2 linked regions of the Canis lupus familiaris genome follow. The main gene of each other region encodes a partner of the protein of the gene in region 2 in a complex. Links are inferred from orthologs where the notes say so. Each region holds a gene or a part of one and is shown on either strand. Other genes may lie near its edges. The genes, in order: BRK1 and CYFIP2.

Region 1 (9,020 bases), on a different chromosome or scaffold from region 2:
GTTTGCCTGCTAGTGCTGCTTCTTCTCTTTCTTAGATCTAGCTTGAGTATAAGGACCTCAGCACGCTCCTTTTCCTAGATACACTACCACTGCCAGGAATGCCCAACAGGATCAAGTCTCTCTCAATCTGGTTTTTAGAAGCTCAGAGGCACATCATGTATGCTATTCAGTAAGAGCATGAATGTTATCACTAACAACCTGTCATTTCCCATAAAAAGAGACATGCCAGAATTATCTGCAGGGGTGGGGTGGTGAGAAGGAGGGTTCCTTCCTGGATGGCTGTTCTGTTCTAGCTCTGTCGATCTGGCTGTGAATCAGAATCCAAGAACAACACTACATTCCTGGCCTAAATGGATAAGCACTGTTGGGAAATATAAAATGTTAAACTCCAGAAACTTTGATCATATTTCAGATCCCAAGAAATACATACTAATTCAAGCAAAACACTTCGAAGGCATTCAGCAGCTGAACAAATCAAACCAGAGTGCATTTAGGAGTATATTATCTTTAGACTTTAAATGAAGATAACTAGTCATTCTTGTCAGGGTGCTTTGATGGTGTATCCATTACCACTGCTGACAAATGCCAGTTATCAGCTCCTCTGAACTCTTAGTGCACATAACCTTAGCCTACAAAAATCAATACTGTCATTCTCTTGACTTGTTGCTGTTAAGGCTTGCTTCTCTGACAGCATTCTAAATTTCTCAGGAGTGGCTAGCATGTCCATTTATCTTTATTTCTTTTTCAGAGGATGTGACACACAGCTGGGATCATAACAGGCATGCTATACTTGTTGGCTAAGTATAAAACTGACATTTAAAAATAACCACATTGGGATCCCTGGGTGGCTCACCGGTTTAGCGCCTGCCTTCAGCCCAGGGCCTGATCCTGGAGACCTGGGATCAAGTCCCACATCGGGCTTCCTGCATGGAGCCTGCTTCTCCCTCTGCCTGTGTCTCTGCCTCTCTCTATCTCTCACGAATAAATAAATAAAATCTTAAACAAACAAACAATAAATAAAACCACATTTATTATTTTTGTTACACTTCTTTGTGCATATCAGGTTTAGAATCAGGTACAACAGTACAAAAATAAAAAGCTATCATCTGTGACAATCTATTTTTAGAAACTTCACAACTCAAGGTACACAACAGGCCAGTGTTAGGATGTCATCACTGCCTCATGATTTGTGGAGCCTCAGGTTCAAGTGGTCCACCAATATAATTACTCTCACCAGTTGGAAGGAATCACAGAGTAAAAGCTGTTCAGAAAGTCACTAGCTAGCTTGGAAAAACTGTTCCCTCTCCAAATCACATGGCCTACAAGACTCTCTGTGTTCAGGGTGAGAACTGTAGGATTGCTGCCATTTTATTTTATTTTTTTAAGATTTTATTTATTTATTTGAGAAAGAGAGAGAGAGAAAGTATGAGTGGAGGGCAGAGGCAGAGGGAGAAGCAGACTCCCCACTGAGCAGGGAGCCCAATGCAGGGCTCCAAGATCATGACCTGAGCTGAAGGCAGAAGCTTAACTGACTGAGCACCAGGAGCCCTGAATTGCTGCCATTTTCAAAGACTGCCCTCAAAGTAAATTCCTATTAAACCTCTGAACCAGGACGCCTGGGTGGCTCAGCGGTTGAGCATCTGTCAGCTCAGGGCATAATTCCGGAGTCCCTGATCAAGTCCCAGGTCGGGGGAGAGGGAAAAAAAAAAAAAGTCCCACGTCGGGCTCCCTGCATGGAGCCTGTTTCTCCCTCTGCCTATGTCTCTGCCTCTCTTTCTCTGTATCTCTCATGAATAAATAAATAAAATCTTAAAAAAAAAACAAAAACAAAAAAACAAAACTCTGAACCACCAAATCATAGTATTACAAACTCAGTCTAAGCCCTACACATACACCTCAGAACTGAGGGGTCACACAAAGGGCCTGGAGTGGGAAAATGTTATCCCCCCGCCCCATGCTCACCCTGAGTCATTCAATGCCAAGACAGTGTCTCAAGTGTTTCATGATTGTTCAAGTTTCTCAGCCTGTTGGTCCTTGTCTACACTCATATCAGTGATAATGTCAATCTTCAAGAACTTGCCTCAGGTATACCTGACTGATGAATCACATTGCTTTAGCTTCTAACCTTGCCTTATAATTCCATTCTTAATTGTAATAATTGTCCTTTCCTTTAAAAGGACTAAATTAAAAAGTAAATAAATAAATAAAAGGACTAAATTAATTATCTAACATCTTCAAAAACCATCTAGCAATCACTCCCAACATTAGACCATTAGCATCACTTTAAGGGAGAATAATGGCCTACGCTAACTAGTTCTTCTGGCTCCTTAAGATTGGAATTTTGTGTGTATACTTCCTCAGCCTAGGACATGTTGGAAATCTCAAAAAGAAAAGTCTTTATTCTCTATTTGACCATAAAATGTGACTCACACATTTGATAAAATTTCAGTGCAGGGATTTCCTTGCTTATAAAGCAATACAAGAGACATTTCTCTTTTGCAAATCCTAATCTCAAACTCTTCAATTTTTGGTCAGTTCCGAGACTCATCCACTATAAATCTAGTGACTGTAGATCATAAATTACCAAGATTTATGTCAAAGATAAATGTATGTGATTTACAAGTTTATTAATATAGGGGCACCTGGGTGGTGCAAATCCTAATTTCAGGGGACGCCTGAGTGGCTCAGCAGTTGGGTGTCTGCCTTTTGGCTCGGGGTGTGATCCCGGAGTTCCAGGATGGAGTCCCGCATCAGGTTCCCTGCGTGGAGCCTGCTTCTCCCTCTGCCTGTGTCTCTGCCTCTCTCTGTCTCTAATGAATAAATAAATAAAATCTAAAAAAAAAAAAAAAAAATCCTAATTTCAGCTCAGGTCATGATCTCAGGATCCTGAGACAGAGCCCCATTTTGGGCTTCCAGCTCAGCAGAGTCTACTTAAGACTATCTCTTCCTCGGGACAGCCTGGGTGGCTCAGCGGTTTAGCGCCGCCTTCAGCCCAGGGCGTGATCCTGGAGACCCAGGATTGAGTCCCATGTCAGGCCCTGCATGGAGCCTGCTTCTCTCCCTTTGCCTGTGTCTCTCTGTCTCTCATGAATAAATAAATAAAATCTAAAAAAAGAAAAAAAAAAAAAAAAAAAAAGAAAAAGACTCCCTCTACTCCACCCTCACTCAAGCTCGCTCTCTCTCTAAAATAAATAAATCCTTAAAAAAAAAGGTTCATTAATACAACTCAGTGCTCAGAAATGAAGTTATTACATTACCCAGATCCAAATTTGGGGGACTTGTGCTAGATCATTTTTAAATTTTGAAAAACAGCCCCAGCTTAATTTACTTTTTAAAAAATTTATTCATTTATGAGAAAGAGAGAGAGAGAGAGAGAGAGAAAGAAAAGGCATGTGCCTGAGTGGGTGGGGTAGAGGGAAAGGGAGAGGGAGAGAAATCTTAAGCAGACTGTGCACTGAGCAGGGACTCCAAATTGGGGCTCCATCTCACGACACTGAGATCACTACCAGAGCTGAAACCGGAAGCTTAACTGACTAACTCACCCAGGCGCCCTATGACTTGTTATTTTAGATGTTTTGATTTAGTTGATGTTCTTAATACTTTGCTTAGATAATCTGTGTGTATAGATCAGATCTTACCAGATAGGTGAAATCTTTTAATTCTGCTTTTTAAGGTTAAAACTCTCCATGTCAGTGATTTTTCCAACTACTTTCCACTGCCTCTCCTAACTAAGCCAAATCTCAAGCCGTGATCTTCTCCTAGAAGATCCTTCTGGAAGGATCCTCCTTCTGGAAGAAGCACCATTCCATCCTTCTACTACCATGAAATATTTTGGTTTCTCTTCCATGGTCCTTTGTCTGAAGAAATGTTATGAGTAAATAATGCTGTGAACAACCTCCAATAATAGTTCAAGCTCTCCAGAAAAAGTAGGAGAAACCAATTATGAAAACTAGTATTGAAAGAGTTTGCATAGAACTTAGGAAAAAAGAAAAAAACTGAGGAAAGAAACCCAGATTATCTGAATAGTAGGGTAAATAGTCTCAGTTCACTCAAATCAATTAATCTAGCCTCTGAACTTGAGTCTATCTCCAAAAATCCATGTATCTTTTTCACTAAACCATACTCCTTTGCTCATAGTCCTTAAAAGATGTCAGGATATACGAGATCTATGTTGACTACCATTCCCTACTACAACCTCTATACCAAATTATGTGTGTGAATATGTATCAATGACATACTTATACTATTCTTTCTTTTTCTTTTAAGATTTCATATATTTATTCATGAGAGAGAGAGAGAGAGAGAGAGAGGCAGAGACACAGGCAGAGGGAGAAGCAGGCTCCATCCTGGATCCCGGGATCACGCCCTGAGCGGAAGGGAGATGCTCAACCGCTGAGCCATCCAGGCGTCTCTATACTATTCTTTCATATGACTCTATACTATTCTTTTCAGTAACTACCCTCAGTCATTCCCTGGTGAGAAAGATCCATCATACTAAGACTCATCAAAATTATAGTCCTACACACTTTATAAGGATATATATTAATACAAAACCGATGTTCTGAAACTGTCATTATTTCATTTGCAAGACAGAAATTCCTTGAAAGCAGGAAATGATTCTTATTCTGTGTCCTCCAGAGTACCTGAGAGCGCTTTCTACCGAGATCTGGTTTCTCTTGCTGATGCTTTCTAAGAAAATTCATGCTCTTTTACCTTACTCCTCAGGATGCATCAGTTCTCCAGCTGGAAAATAATTAATTCATTTAAAATCTTTTTTTTTTTTTAAATACATCGGTTTCCCCTACTTAATCTTCGTTGCTTGTTGCTGAATTAGTGGAACAGAAGCACACTAGTTGGAAAAAGATCACTAGATGTCATCCTTACACCTTGTGATTACTTAAGTCTACGCAGTGCCCAGTTCTGTTAAGGAAACACTTGGAGCACATGAGATGGGAGTCTGTTACAGGTTTGCTGTCCAGAAGGACACGAACAAAACAGAAAGAATCTGTCACAAGCGCGCCATGCCTAGGAAAGATTTTGCTAGAAGCAGAAGCAATACCTACTGCTGGCTAGTGGCAGCAATACAGAGCTCTCCGTGACCTTACATCTGGCCTCATCTCCCACCACTCTCAGCGCAGCAAAACCGGAAGACAGAAGAGGCGACTCAACGGTATGGCGCTCAAGAGATCCTGACAATGATGCGGAAGCCTCAAGAAACTCACACGAGGGCAGCGACACGGCTGTGGCTGCGTTGTGACTGACGCACCCTAAGTGCAAAGCGGGAACTGGAAGGGAAGCGGGTCACAAAGGAAGCAGGGAGGCTACCGAAGACGAGGCTGTGGATGCAGCTGCCTCTATAGAGTCGGGGAGAGGGCAAGGCTTGCTAATGGATCTGCTGGTGACGGCAATGAAGCCGAGGAGCTCAGCCCGGCGCAGGATAACCCTACAGGGACTGCCCGGTGAGGCCTAAGGATCCGGGCGAGAGGGGCAAGGTGGGCTGCAAAGGACGCGGAAACCAGCAAGCGCCCAGGGCTCCCGGGGCAAGCCCCTTCAAGGCTTCTCAGCGCCTTCGCCAAACTGCCCGAGCGGCCTCCTACCCAACCCCCGCGGCCCCCTGCTCGCCCGCTGACCGAAGGAGTTGAGAAAGTCCGCGATCTTCTTGATGCTGCTGGTGATGACCTCAATGTATTCCCGGTTCGCCCAGTCCTGGTGAATCTCCCGCTGCACCGGATCCTCTTGGCCCGCCATGGCTGCCGCCTGAAGAGAGCCACTGCGCAGGCGCCGCGACCCTCCAGGCCGCCAGGGCGCCTGCGCCGCCAGCCCACGCCCATCCCTTGGCACCCACGAATCCACCGGCATTGTGATGCGCCTGCGCGACGTCAAGTCCTCGCGTGCGTTTTCTCTCTGCTCCACGCCCCTGAAAAAAGTCGCCAGAAGGCGGCCGGGGAGGGGGCAGTGCGCACGCGCCGCGCCTCTCCTGCGCACCGCAGACCCGGTCGCCCGCGGTTTGGGTCGTTAGCGGGCGCGGGACCGCGAGACGCTCGCTCGGTCAGTTGCTCCAAACTAAGTTGGCCGTGTGTCGCCGATTAAGACGCATTAAGTACGACTCATTTTAAAAATGGCTTTCAGCAGCACAACATGATTCCCCACCTTGGACCCATCCAATGAACAAAACATTTTTTTTTGTTGTTTAAACAATGGCACCCAGTGATGGAGAGGCCCAGGGGAAATTGATAGGCTCCTAAATAGCTGGTCACACTGTAAACTGGCACAACTCCTGAAGGCAATTTGTAAATTGATAGCAAGAGCTGTCAAAAAAAAAAATTCGGACTTTTTTGACCTAATTATTTCATTGAGAAAAATCATTGAAAAAGAAAAAAAAAAAAAGACTTTAAGCACAAAGGTGCCCTTTGTAACGTTATTTAAAAAAAAAAAAAAACAAAACAAAACAACCAGGGACGCCTGAGTGGCTCAGTGGTTGAGCGTCTGCCTTAGGCTCAGGCCCTGATCCGAGGTGCTGGGATCGAGTCCCACGTCGGGCTCCCTGCATGGAGCCTGCTTCTCCCTCTGCCTGTGTCTCTGCCCCAATCTCTATGTGTGTCTCTCATGAATAAATAAATACAATCTCTAAAAAAAAATAATATAGCCACCTATGGCAATATAATGTATTTAAATAGTAATTCTGGGCACTATGGCAACATACATGATAAATTGAAGAGGAAAATGAAATACAAAATTGTCTTTAATTGCAACTGTATCAAAAATTTGTCTGCTTGAGGACAAGAAGGATACATGAAGATGCCAATGTCTGGTTTGTTAAGGTAGTGGAATTATGGACAATTTTATTTTTCTTTAAGGGAGTATTTACAATCTGCTTTGTGCAATACGTGCCTTTTATTTGAAAAAAATTTTTGATCAGATTACTTCTAGCAGTAGCTGGGAAGAAATCGTTACTAACAGTCCTTTACTTAGGTACAAGTTTTTATAAGCTATAAAGCTGCTTTTATAGCTATTACCTCACTGGACCCTCACAAACCCTGTGGAAGGAAATCAGGAAGAGGCTTCTCATTTTACAGATGAGAAAACTGAAGTTCAAGGTCACATAGACAATTAAGTGGTGAACCTTCACCAGTTAATTCCAGACTCCAATATTTTCTCGTATCACTCTGTAAACAGGCTAAGGCCTTTCTGAACTCTCTCATGTATTCATAGAAATGGTTACTTAAATAATAAACATCCCTAACTATTAAACCCCTGGCATCCAGAGGTATAACTGACACTCAAGACTTCGCTTCCTGAGTAATACTGTTGTAGTTCTATTTCTCACATGTCACAGAGAAATCGGATAGATCAGCTTTTCCTTTAAAGGCACGGCATCTCAGTTTCAAATCACAAATCTACCAAAGAGGAGTCACTTCATCCCTCTGAGCTTTTGTTTCTTCATGTGTAATACAGGAATAACAATATGGGGACACCTGGGTGGCTCAGCGGTTGAGCATCTGCTTTGCACTCAGGCCAGGATCCTGCTTCAGGATCCGAGGATCGAGTCCCCACATCGGGCTCCCTGCAGGGAGCCTGCTTCTTCCTCTGCCTGTGTCTGTGCTTTCTCTGTGTGTCTCTCATGAATAAATAAATGTTTTTTTTTATTTTTTTAAATCAACTTACTTTTATTTATTTTTTAAAGATTTATTTATTTATTTATTTATTTATTTATTTATTTATTTATGATAGAGAGAGAGAGGCAGAGACACAGGAAGAGGGAGAAGCAGGCTCCATGGTGGGAGCCCGACGTGGGACTCGATCCCGGGACTCCAGGATCGCGCCCTGGACCAAAGGCAGGCGCTAAACCGCTGAGCCACCCAGGGATCTCCAGTTTTTTTTGTTTTTTTGTTTTTTTTTAAGGAATAACAGGGCAGCCTGTGTGGCTCAGCGGTTTAGCACCACCTTCAACCCCGGGAGTGATCCTGGAGACCCAGGATCGAGTCCCACATCGGGCTCCCTGCATGGAGCCTGCTTCTCCCTCTGCCTGTGTCTCTGCCTCTCTCTCTCTCTCTCTCTCTCTCTCTCGTGAATAAATCAGATCTTTTTTAAAAAGATAAAAATAATAAAAACAAAAAGGAATAACAATATGGATGGATTAGGATTGTTGGGAGAATTCTGTAAGAAAGAATAAAACACTAAGCACAGTGCCTGACTCTTCACAAAGCAGGCACTCATGATTACATTTTCTTTTTAGGCAGAAAGAAAATTAAGTACACATATCTATCCAACATTTTATTTTTTTATGATTAATGGTCTTCCATGAACAAGTCAGGCTCAGCTTTTCTCCTTTTGCTGGACTTCCTATACACCTGTTCTAGGGTCTCCCCTGTAATTCCAAACAACTCAAGGATATAGTGCTCTCCTACAGTGAAGAATATTCCTCTGGACTTCTGGAGCTTTTCCCTACATACCTCAGGGAGCTTGCTATCAGGAAGTCCTCCAGTATGGGTTTGCCAGTGTGGTAGTTCTTCAGTGCAGAAATTGTTTATGATGAGTGATGCAAGGATACAGAGGCAAAACCTTTGGGAATGCTGTTGGTGCAACAAGGAGTGCTTCTGGGTGGCAAATTGCCTCAGCCATAAGGGAACAAGGTCCCTGCCTTTAGGTCTACCATGTGCTTCATAGAACTTTGGGAATTTTGTCAATGACTCCATGTGTAATAATCAGTGTGGAGTCAAAAGCTTGAAGAAATGTGTCAATTGCATTAAGCATGGTTATGTGAATCTTTATTGCAATCGCGTGCACTTGGACCATCATTTATGCAGCTAAGGATTGCATGTGCACCATGGCAATGTTGCTAGCTTTGAAAGAACTGAACCATCTTTTGGCAGAGCATATGTGGCTGCTGTCACGACAATCCCTGAGAACAGTGCACACAGAATATTGAGTGCTACATGATACAATGTTGATGTTGTAGGTCATTGATAATATGTGGTATGGGAGATTCTGGTTTTCCATATATGTGTGGTAGCCATGGA
Region 2 (8,236 bases):
TGCCTGTGTCTCTGCCTTTCTCTCTCTCTGTGTCTCTCATGAATAAATAAATAAAACCTTAAAAAAAATGATCTCAGACACACTGGAGGTCCAGCTCACTGTTACAACTGCATCATATTCAACCCAGACACTTACTAAGTGACTACTCTGTGAAAGGCTATGTAATCTGTGCTTTCCCTGAAAGTACATGCTTTGTGTACTTCCCATCATCAAGAACCATTCACTTCATTTAATGCACATTCTGTGTTAACAGAAACTGGTGTGTTCTGCACGTCAACTCCTATTTGAAATATGTCAAGGCAATCTTAGCTGTCAAAAGCAAAATGAAGCAAATTCTCTTCATAGAAAGAAAAATAATTTATGACACTTAAGTCATTATTCTTGACATTATTGGTTGGTACATTTGGATTTCCAAAAGAAGGGAGATATTTATTTTGAGGTTTTTCTTGACCAGTACTGCTATGGGTTCTTGAAAGCCAGGAATTTACTAAATCAACACATACTGGCAATACCAACGAGCCTCCAATACTTAATATGTCTCTTACTGGACTTCTTCACTGCTCTCCTATGTGGCCTTTATATACTCATTCTTGCTCACCACCAATCCATTCCCCACATTTTTGTTTAGGACAGATTTTTAAGAATAAGATTTGAAACAGGTTCCCATTATACTTTTGAAATCCCAAGGTATTCTATTCCTCCTAGGTAGATGTCTACAAGCCCCATCCCCTGAGCCCTGCCTATCTCTCCAGCTTTATCATGTAACTTGCCTCCTCTTGTGGCCTGTGGACGAGGCATTTACATGTACTAATTCACATTAATTGTCTCAACTGCCCTATGGAGTAGGCATGCTGTCAATACAATACTTCTACTTCAGGGATTTTGCACAAGCAGTTCTTTTGCCTGCAATTTCCCGTCTCATCCTTTACTTAGTTTTACTTAATCCCTATCAGCTTCAGATAAGAATGCCAACATTACTTTCTCGGGATAGCCTTTCCAGTTCCTCATCTGAAAGACTAGTTCAGGTTTAACCATCATAGATTCACGTATTCCCATGAACTTTTCCTTTGCGGGGAGCATGCAACCTCCCTTATCACTGTGCTTTCATCAGTTTTTACTAAAGTCTGTTATCCCTACTAGTCTGTAAGCTCCATGAGGTACAGCACCAAATCTGCCTATTTCCTTTCTCCTACATTTCAGCACCCAGTCCAGGCCCAGGTAATCATTCATATTTCCTTAGGGGCTGAAGAAGAAGAGAGGTTTCACAACAGGAAACTATGTCTTACAGAGAGCAGTCTAAGAACATTTGTTCCTTACAGCCCTGGGATTCTCATACCTGCCAGCCATGGCTTTGTAGTAGGCAAAGATCTGGTCCGCCAGCTTGTAGACAAACTGGTCAAAGCACAAGTTCACCTGTGAAAGGGAAGCAAGAATGTCAGTGCTGTGCATCTAGCTTTATCACAGAAGCATAGGCAAATTGCAAGGGGCATCTGGGCTGTATTATGTGTTGTAGAGCAAGATACTTTGAATAGCAAAAAAAGAAGATTCTGTGGCTAAGTAAGTTAAGAAGTTTGGTCCCTTGCCCTCAAGGTCCTTAATTAGGTACAGAGAAGGCAAAGTTCAAAAAGCTGTTGAGGAACTGGCCTCTGCTTAGGTCCCCTCCTTGCAGTTCCAAGGTGGGAAGGCAAGATAGATCTTCATATCCTGCAATTATTCACATCAGCCCACCCTTCCTCTTCCCTGCTAGACCTTCTCATCTTTTCCTTTCATTTTATTTGTTACTTGCTTGACAAACGAAGAAATTGATGGTCCTCGGAAATTGAAAAAGATCTTTTTTTCAAACTTTGCTTGAAAACCTTTGTCTCTTAATGAATATGGGCTCAATTTGCCATCTCTGTGTCTGTCTCATCACATCGGTGGCAGATTGTGATGCTCAGGTGAGAAGTTCATGTCTGACACAGGATCAAAACCAAACCCTCCATTGATGGCAAGAAATAGCCAAGGGTGGGACCTTAATGAGATGGGGCTGTGGTGGTAGCAGAGCACCATGTGACTTCAAAGAGAACAGAGCATAATTAGGGGACTGATCTTCTAGTCTTCCTTCACCAAATTCTCAGCTCCATAAAGCTAATTCTTTATCTGAAGAGCTTCTGTATCTCTTACTTTATACCCTAGATGTTATCTTGAACATAAAACACAGAGCTGTGTGCAGTTTTGCCCTCAACTGCAGGTAAGGCCTCTGCTCTGGACTTATGCTTCAAGGGTCCCACCAGGTCTTCTTCCAGTTGAAGAACCTGCAGGGCTAAGGTAGAGGTGCCTACTCATACCCTAAGCTCTCCTTCTAGAACCAGCCTTTACTATCCTTGTCCCAAAAGCTCAAGCCCCTTCAGACCTGTCTGTAGTTTTCCCTGGTATTGTTCCTGAATGTGGATTGCATGGCAGGTGTAAGCACCCCTAGGGTTGAGGGTTAGCTAAGGGGCCATTGTTTGTGGGCAGTGGTGGCAGACAAAGCTTGGGTATCTACACACATGCACATGAGGCTCTTTGTAGTACAGAACAAAGTCTTCAGATGGGAAGAGAAAGGGGACAGCCCATAAGCTGGGAGGGGGGTCTCAATCTGTACTGACCCCATGCCCTCAAATGTTACCCAGGGCCTGGCTGTGTGCTTTCTTCATATTTAAGAATCTCACTTGGCCACATGACACTCTAGAATTCTTTTGCTTTCAACCTGTTGGAGAACACAACTATACAGGATCTTGTCAGAGCATGGGGTTGTCAAAGTTAAGATGCAACCAGTTCATTTGTCTCCTGGAATCTCTCTTCCTAAGTTTGAGCTCAGGAGAAGAGATCTGGGTTGGAGTCCATTAAGGTTTTCAACTCCCAAAGAAACTGGAGGGTAGAGAAAGCAAACAGTACCTCTCCTAGATTTTCTTTGAAATACATAAACTGTCAAACTAAGTTGGTGGTGGTGTTAATCCTAAAACACTCATGTCTTTCCTTTATAAACAAGAATGTTTTATATTTCTATGATATTTTTACCTAATTGGCCTCATTCTGTGTTTATATAGCCCCATGCAGTTAAGGAAGAACCCAGACTATCATTCCATTTCCCAGGAGGCAAAACTTAGAAATTTCAGTAGCCATCACTACTATTGGCCTCGTCCTTCCATGTGGCAGGATTGTACTTCCTTGCGCCTCTCCGTGAAGGTGATGCAGTCATGTGACTTGCTTTGACCAATGACATGTGTCATTTCCAGGTGGAAGTTTTGAAGTAGCAGTAACACTTCCTCCTGCCATGGCAATTAGTGAATGTTCCATGTGGGTCCTGACTCGCAGACTACATGGACCAGAGCCCACAACCAACCCATAAAAGAGAAATAAACCTTTGATTTCAAGGTACTAAGAATTTGTAATTATTTGTTACTGCAGCATAACCTAGCTTATCCTGACCATTACAGAAATAAAGCCATTGAGTGACTAATAATAAACAGCTTAATAGTTGAGATAAAGGTTACTTCAATCCTACCACTCTACCAAGTGACACTTTACACTGAGTGACCTTGGCATTATGATAACTGACCACTTTAAGTCTAAGACTAATCTGTAAAACAGATTAATAGTATATACCTCCTTAAATTGCTGTAAAGGTTATTTAAAAAGTTGTTTTAAAAGCAAATGGTGAATATATAATAACTGATAGGTGATATTGCTGTTATTATTATTAACAAAATGTTCCAACCATAAAAGATTCATTAGAATATTAATATTACCCATGCAGTTTTACCATTTGTTATCCCTTAATATATCTGAAAAAGAAAGACCATCATCTTGGTCTGGGTCCTTTTTGATGATCATGATTTGTTAAGATCACTCTCCATATAGTGAATGCTATTATAATAGCATTGTACGGGGACAGATGGTAGCTACACCTCTGGTGAGCACAGTTATGACGTACAGAATTGTAGAATCACTGTGTTGTACACCTGAAACTAATATAACATTGGGCATCAACTATACTGCAATTTTTTTTTTAAAGTCATAAAAAGAGATCATTCTCCAGAACAAGTCACTGATCCCACATTGCTATGGTCTGAATATGTGTGTCCCCCAAAATTCATATGTTGAGATCCTAACCCCCAAAAATATTAGGCTGTGGGGCCTTTGGGAAGTGATTAGGTCATGAAAGTAGACTCTTCATGAATGCGATTAGGGCTCTTGTAAGAGAGAAACTAGGGGCTCAGTCAGTTAAACTTTTTGATTTTGGCTCAGGTCATGATCTCAGGGTCGTGGGATCAAGCCCCCGAGTCTGGCTTTTTTTTTTTTTTTTTTTTTTTTCTCTCTCTCTCAAATAAAATCTTAAAAAAAAAAATTCTAAAAAGACCACAGAGAGCTCCCTCACCCCTTCCACTATGCATACAATGAAAAGTCTGTGACCCAGAAGGATGCCCTGATCTAGACATCTAGCCTCTACAACAGTATTTTTTATAAGCCAGTCTGTGGATTTTTGGTATAGCAGCCTGAATGGACTAAGACAGCCCACTTTGTGCCAAGAGCTACAGATTTAAAAAGTCCACATTGTTGGAATAAGATTATAGGAACAAAAGGAGATGCGGGTCACTTGCCTCAGCTTCAATCTCATCATACAGGAACTGCTTTTTAAACTTGGTCAGAGCATAGTAGGCGCTGTCATTGTACAGGTCCAAAGGGTAGAGGACGTACCTGAAGAGAGAAAAGCAGAGACCAGCAGCTTACTAATCAATCTGAAAGCAAGTGGATTGGGAAATATGAAGGTTTGGGTGAAAACATGAATAAGCTTGGGGTTAATATGAGGGAGCCTTCCAGCATTCTGAGGTTTCCAAATTGCCTTCGGAATGCCTTACTTTACAGTCTGCCTATAGAAATCAGAAGTCCATGATGTTAATAAATCCAAGGCCTGAAACAATTAGTCTGGGACCAAAAGAAATCAGGTGGCAGTTAAGGATATTAGCTTCCTGGTCCCCAGAGATGACTATCTTCCAAGCATAGCTGCCTGACACTGACAGAGCACAGGAAGGGCAGTTGGGCTGGTATAATCCTGAGCCTATCTGCAAGGCTGAGTCAAATCTGGTATGACCTGATCCTTGGCATGAGCGCTTTTCCTAGTGGGGCCACACTGTCTCATCTCGAAAGTTCTGGAAAGAACAGAGCTCCCTAGCAAACTGCCCTCCCTCTGCACCCTGGGAACCTCCTTGCTGACCCAATCCTGCCTCTTACTCCATCATGGAAGGTTCTTTGGTTTCCAGGATATGGTCTGTTAGAATCCAGGGCATGGACATCTCAATTGGGAACTGGATTCGCCGGCCCATGGTTAACTCCAGGAAGAATTCTCGGAACCAGAGCTGAGAGAGGTCACAACATTGCTGCAGGGCTTCTGAAAGCATTAAGGAAAGAGCAGTGGGTTATACAGAAGAAGCACCAAAAGATCTTTGTTCCTATTAACTTGGTTCTTATTGCTTTTGCTATTTCTACCACTATACTGGAGTACAGCAGGTACTCATAAATATGACCTAATCAGTAGATCCTGCTCTTTTACCTGAAGGTCAGTCTAATATCTACTTAGAAAACAGTATCTGTTAGACTCACAGTAGCAGCCCCATGGTGGAGGAGAGCAGTGACATTTTAAAGCTTTCGATGCCCCCATAATCTCCATCGTCCTCCTACAAGGCCAACCTGAAGACCCACAATCTTAGTGGAAAAAGTGTGCTTGCTATCCAAACATAGTGTCAAGCCAGCTCCCCAAGTGCCCGCTTTTCACTGCTCCTCGTCCCCTTGTACATAGTAATTCTGGTTTTTATCCACTTAGAAGCCTTGAGGGGCCCTGGTCTGTGCTCTAATGGAGATGTCTGGATTCGTTAAGGTTACTGTTCTAGTACCAACAAATGCATTACCACTCCTGGGTCTCTGGAGGCTGCTGTCCTTCCCCCTGCCCTGTCCCACCTGCAGAGGTGTCCTGCTAATGGGAGAACAGGACTGGGGGACACGGCTTGGGGTCCAGCTTGGAAGCCTCCTTTGCAATGAGCAACAAGACTAATCAGCACAGAGCTGCTGCTTAAAAGCTAAGGCTTAAGATGCCTGGTTGCATCTGTGGGTATGTTGCTGGATTTAATCCCCTTTACTAAGGACTTCATGACAAATAAACCACAAATGTCTACCAGACAAATTTAGCTGAGTCAGAATAGCTGAACTGAGCCTGGCCTTTCCAAGTCCACCAGAAAGTGTGCATTTTTTACCTCGGTGGCGAAACGTGCCCTTCTGGCCGATGACCACATTTCTTTGCAACTTTTGGTCCAACAGCCTTAGTGGGTCTGGGACCTGCCCCCACCCAACCGTCCTCTCCCCACTGCCTGGATAGCGTCACTCACCACTGATATTGAGCAGGTGTGTGAAGAAGAAGGACTGTTTGTGGAAGTCCTCTATGGCGAGGACAATGGGTCCATCAAGGCTGCTCCTCAATGTCTTCTTGGAGCCACTCTTGTCTGCGATGAGCGATTCAAGCATGGTCCGCACCATGTACAGCTTGAAAGAGAAAGTAGGAGGAGAAGGTCAGGGGCTGGCCCTCTATCCTGGGGTAAAGGTTTCTTTGTGCTGTGTTTATATTTTTCTTTTTTTCTGCAGATGTCTGCTCTTAAAAAGCCCTTCTTAAGGAAGCACCAGTTTAGGGTTGGAGAAGTGAATTTCGAACATGTAAACCTTCATGAGGGAGAGTGGCCCGCCCAGAAAGGACATTCTGCCCAGGGCCTGTGGCATCCCTGGGTAGGAGGACCTGATGTAATAACAAGTCATTTAAGGCCCAAGTTTTTGCTGGCTCTGCTTGGCCAAGGGCGTGGGCATCAGAGGAGAACCTCAGTTCACATCACTCTGGAGTCACTCTCTGCTTTACTGGTTGGCTATGGTGGCACCCTGGACTTGGGTCTATGGCCAGGCGCTGCTACTGTCTTGCTGTGTGACCTTGGGCAACAAAGTCCCACTCTGGGCCTCAGTTTTCTTATCTGCTAATACGAGGGGGTTGCACCAGATGCTTTCTCAAGCCAGTCCCTTTCAGCTCTAGCATTTTGAGGAATTGCGAAATGCGGTTTGATCAGAGCAAGCCCCCCGCCCAGCCACCTCAAGCTTCAGACCCTTAGCACTTGGAATCCATTACCAAGGGATGGCGCCCTCTGGTGGCGCCAGCTGCATTGCACAGCCTACTGAAATCCTGGGTGATAAGCGGGTGAAGATGGGTACTTACACAGGAGGTCTACTAGACAATCAACTCCCGCTTACAGAGGGCCTTAAGTGCAAAGGGTGCAAGTGCTAATCTAGATCTTTCCACATCATATGTCTTTGAATCTTAGGGCTGGAAGGGGCCTTGAGGAGCCAGGCTAGTCCATTCCTGCTGCCTCCTGGAGAAGTGTACCCCAACCAACCCAGCCAGGCGGTGTTATACCAGGGATCGGCAGCCTCTTCGGCCCTGTGTGCCACCAGTGGGGTGAAACAAAGCCCGCGGGGACCACTGGCAGGCCTAAGACATAGATAGGAGAAAAGAGGAGGGAATGGGAGGGCAGGAGAGACAGGGAAGAGGGAGAGAGAGAAGAGAGAGAGAGAAAGAGAAAAGCAAGAGGTATTGTATATGGTGGGAAAGCCGCCGCGACTGCTAGGGGCCACTTGCCGACCACCTCTCAGAAGCTCCAACCTCCCTCTGCCACCACGTCTGCTCTGGATCTCCTCCAGGACCATACCCACCATGCGCCTGGCACCTGGCCGGGCAGCGCAGCCACAGAGAGGAGGGGCACACCGCCCCTACCGCAGCATTTCCCTTGATGGTCAAAGAGCTACCATGGTGGCTGATTTATGGGACAGTCCACCCACTGCAACCCCATCGGTGGGCAGGCCTGATCATCCTTAAGAACTGAGAAGCACTGTTCTGATGATGGCCCTTGGAGCCACCAGGATTCTAATGATGGCCCTTGGAGCCATCCTTCCAGGAAAGGATTTATCAAGTACAATCCATGTGGTATTGACTTGATTTGTATCAAATTCTATTTGAAAATCCATTTTGTTGGTAAGAGGGGGACCTCCTCTCCCACCTATGTCTATTGACTGGAGCATTTAAGTCATCAGATCAGTCAGCATCCCAGCTATGCTAGAAGCCCCTGTCCACTATGCTCTGCAGGCCCTAACAGAGCCCTGGGGCGGGAGTCAGGAGACCTGGGTTCTT

The links.
Region 1: CYFIP2 (region 2) and BRK1 share a complex: the UniProt entries of both Homo sapiens proteins name them as parts of the WAVE1 complex. The link is inferred for Canis lupus familiaris from reciprocal best matches to the Homo sapiens genes CYFIP2 and BRK1.

The regions. Positions count from the first base shown.
Region 1 is NC_049241.1:8,295,929-8,304,948, forward strand, and holds the start of BRK1 (protein BRICK1), read right to left. Parts: upstream 5,830-9,020; 5' UTR 5,749-5,829; coding exon 5,631-5,748; intron 1-5,630. UniProt on the Homo sapiens protein: Involved in regulation of actin and microtubule organization. Part of a WAVE complex that activates the Arp2/3 complex. As component of the WAVE1 complex, required for BDNF-NTRK2 endocytic trafficking and signaling from early endosomes.
Region 2 is NC_049225.1:53,721,691-53,729,926, forward strand, and holds part of CYFIP2 (cytoplasmic FMR1-interacting protein 2), read right to left. Parts: intron 7,541-8,236; coding exon 7,466-7,540; intron 6,556-7,465; coding exon 6,402-6,555; intron 5,411-6,401; coding exon 5,254-5,410; intron 4,720-5,253; coding exon 4,623-4,719; intron 1,414-4,622; coding exon 1,337-1,413; intron 1-1,336. UniProt on the Homo sapiens protein: Involved in T-cell adhesion and p53/TP53-dependent induction of apoptosis. Does not bind RNA. As component of the WAVE1 complex, required for BDNF-NTRK2 endocytic trafficking and signaling from early endosomes.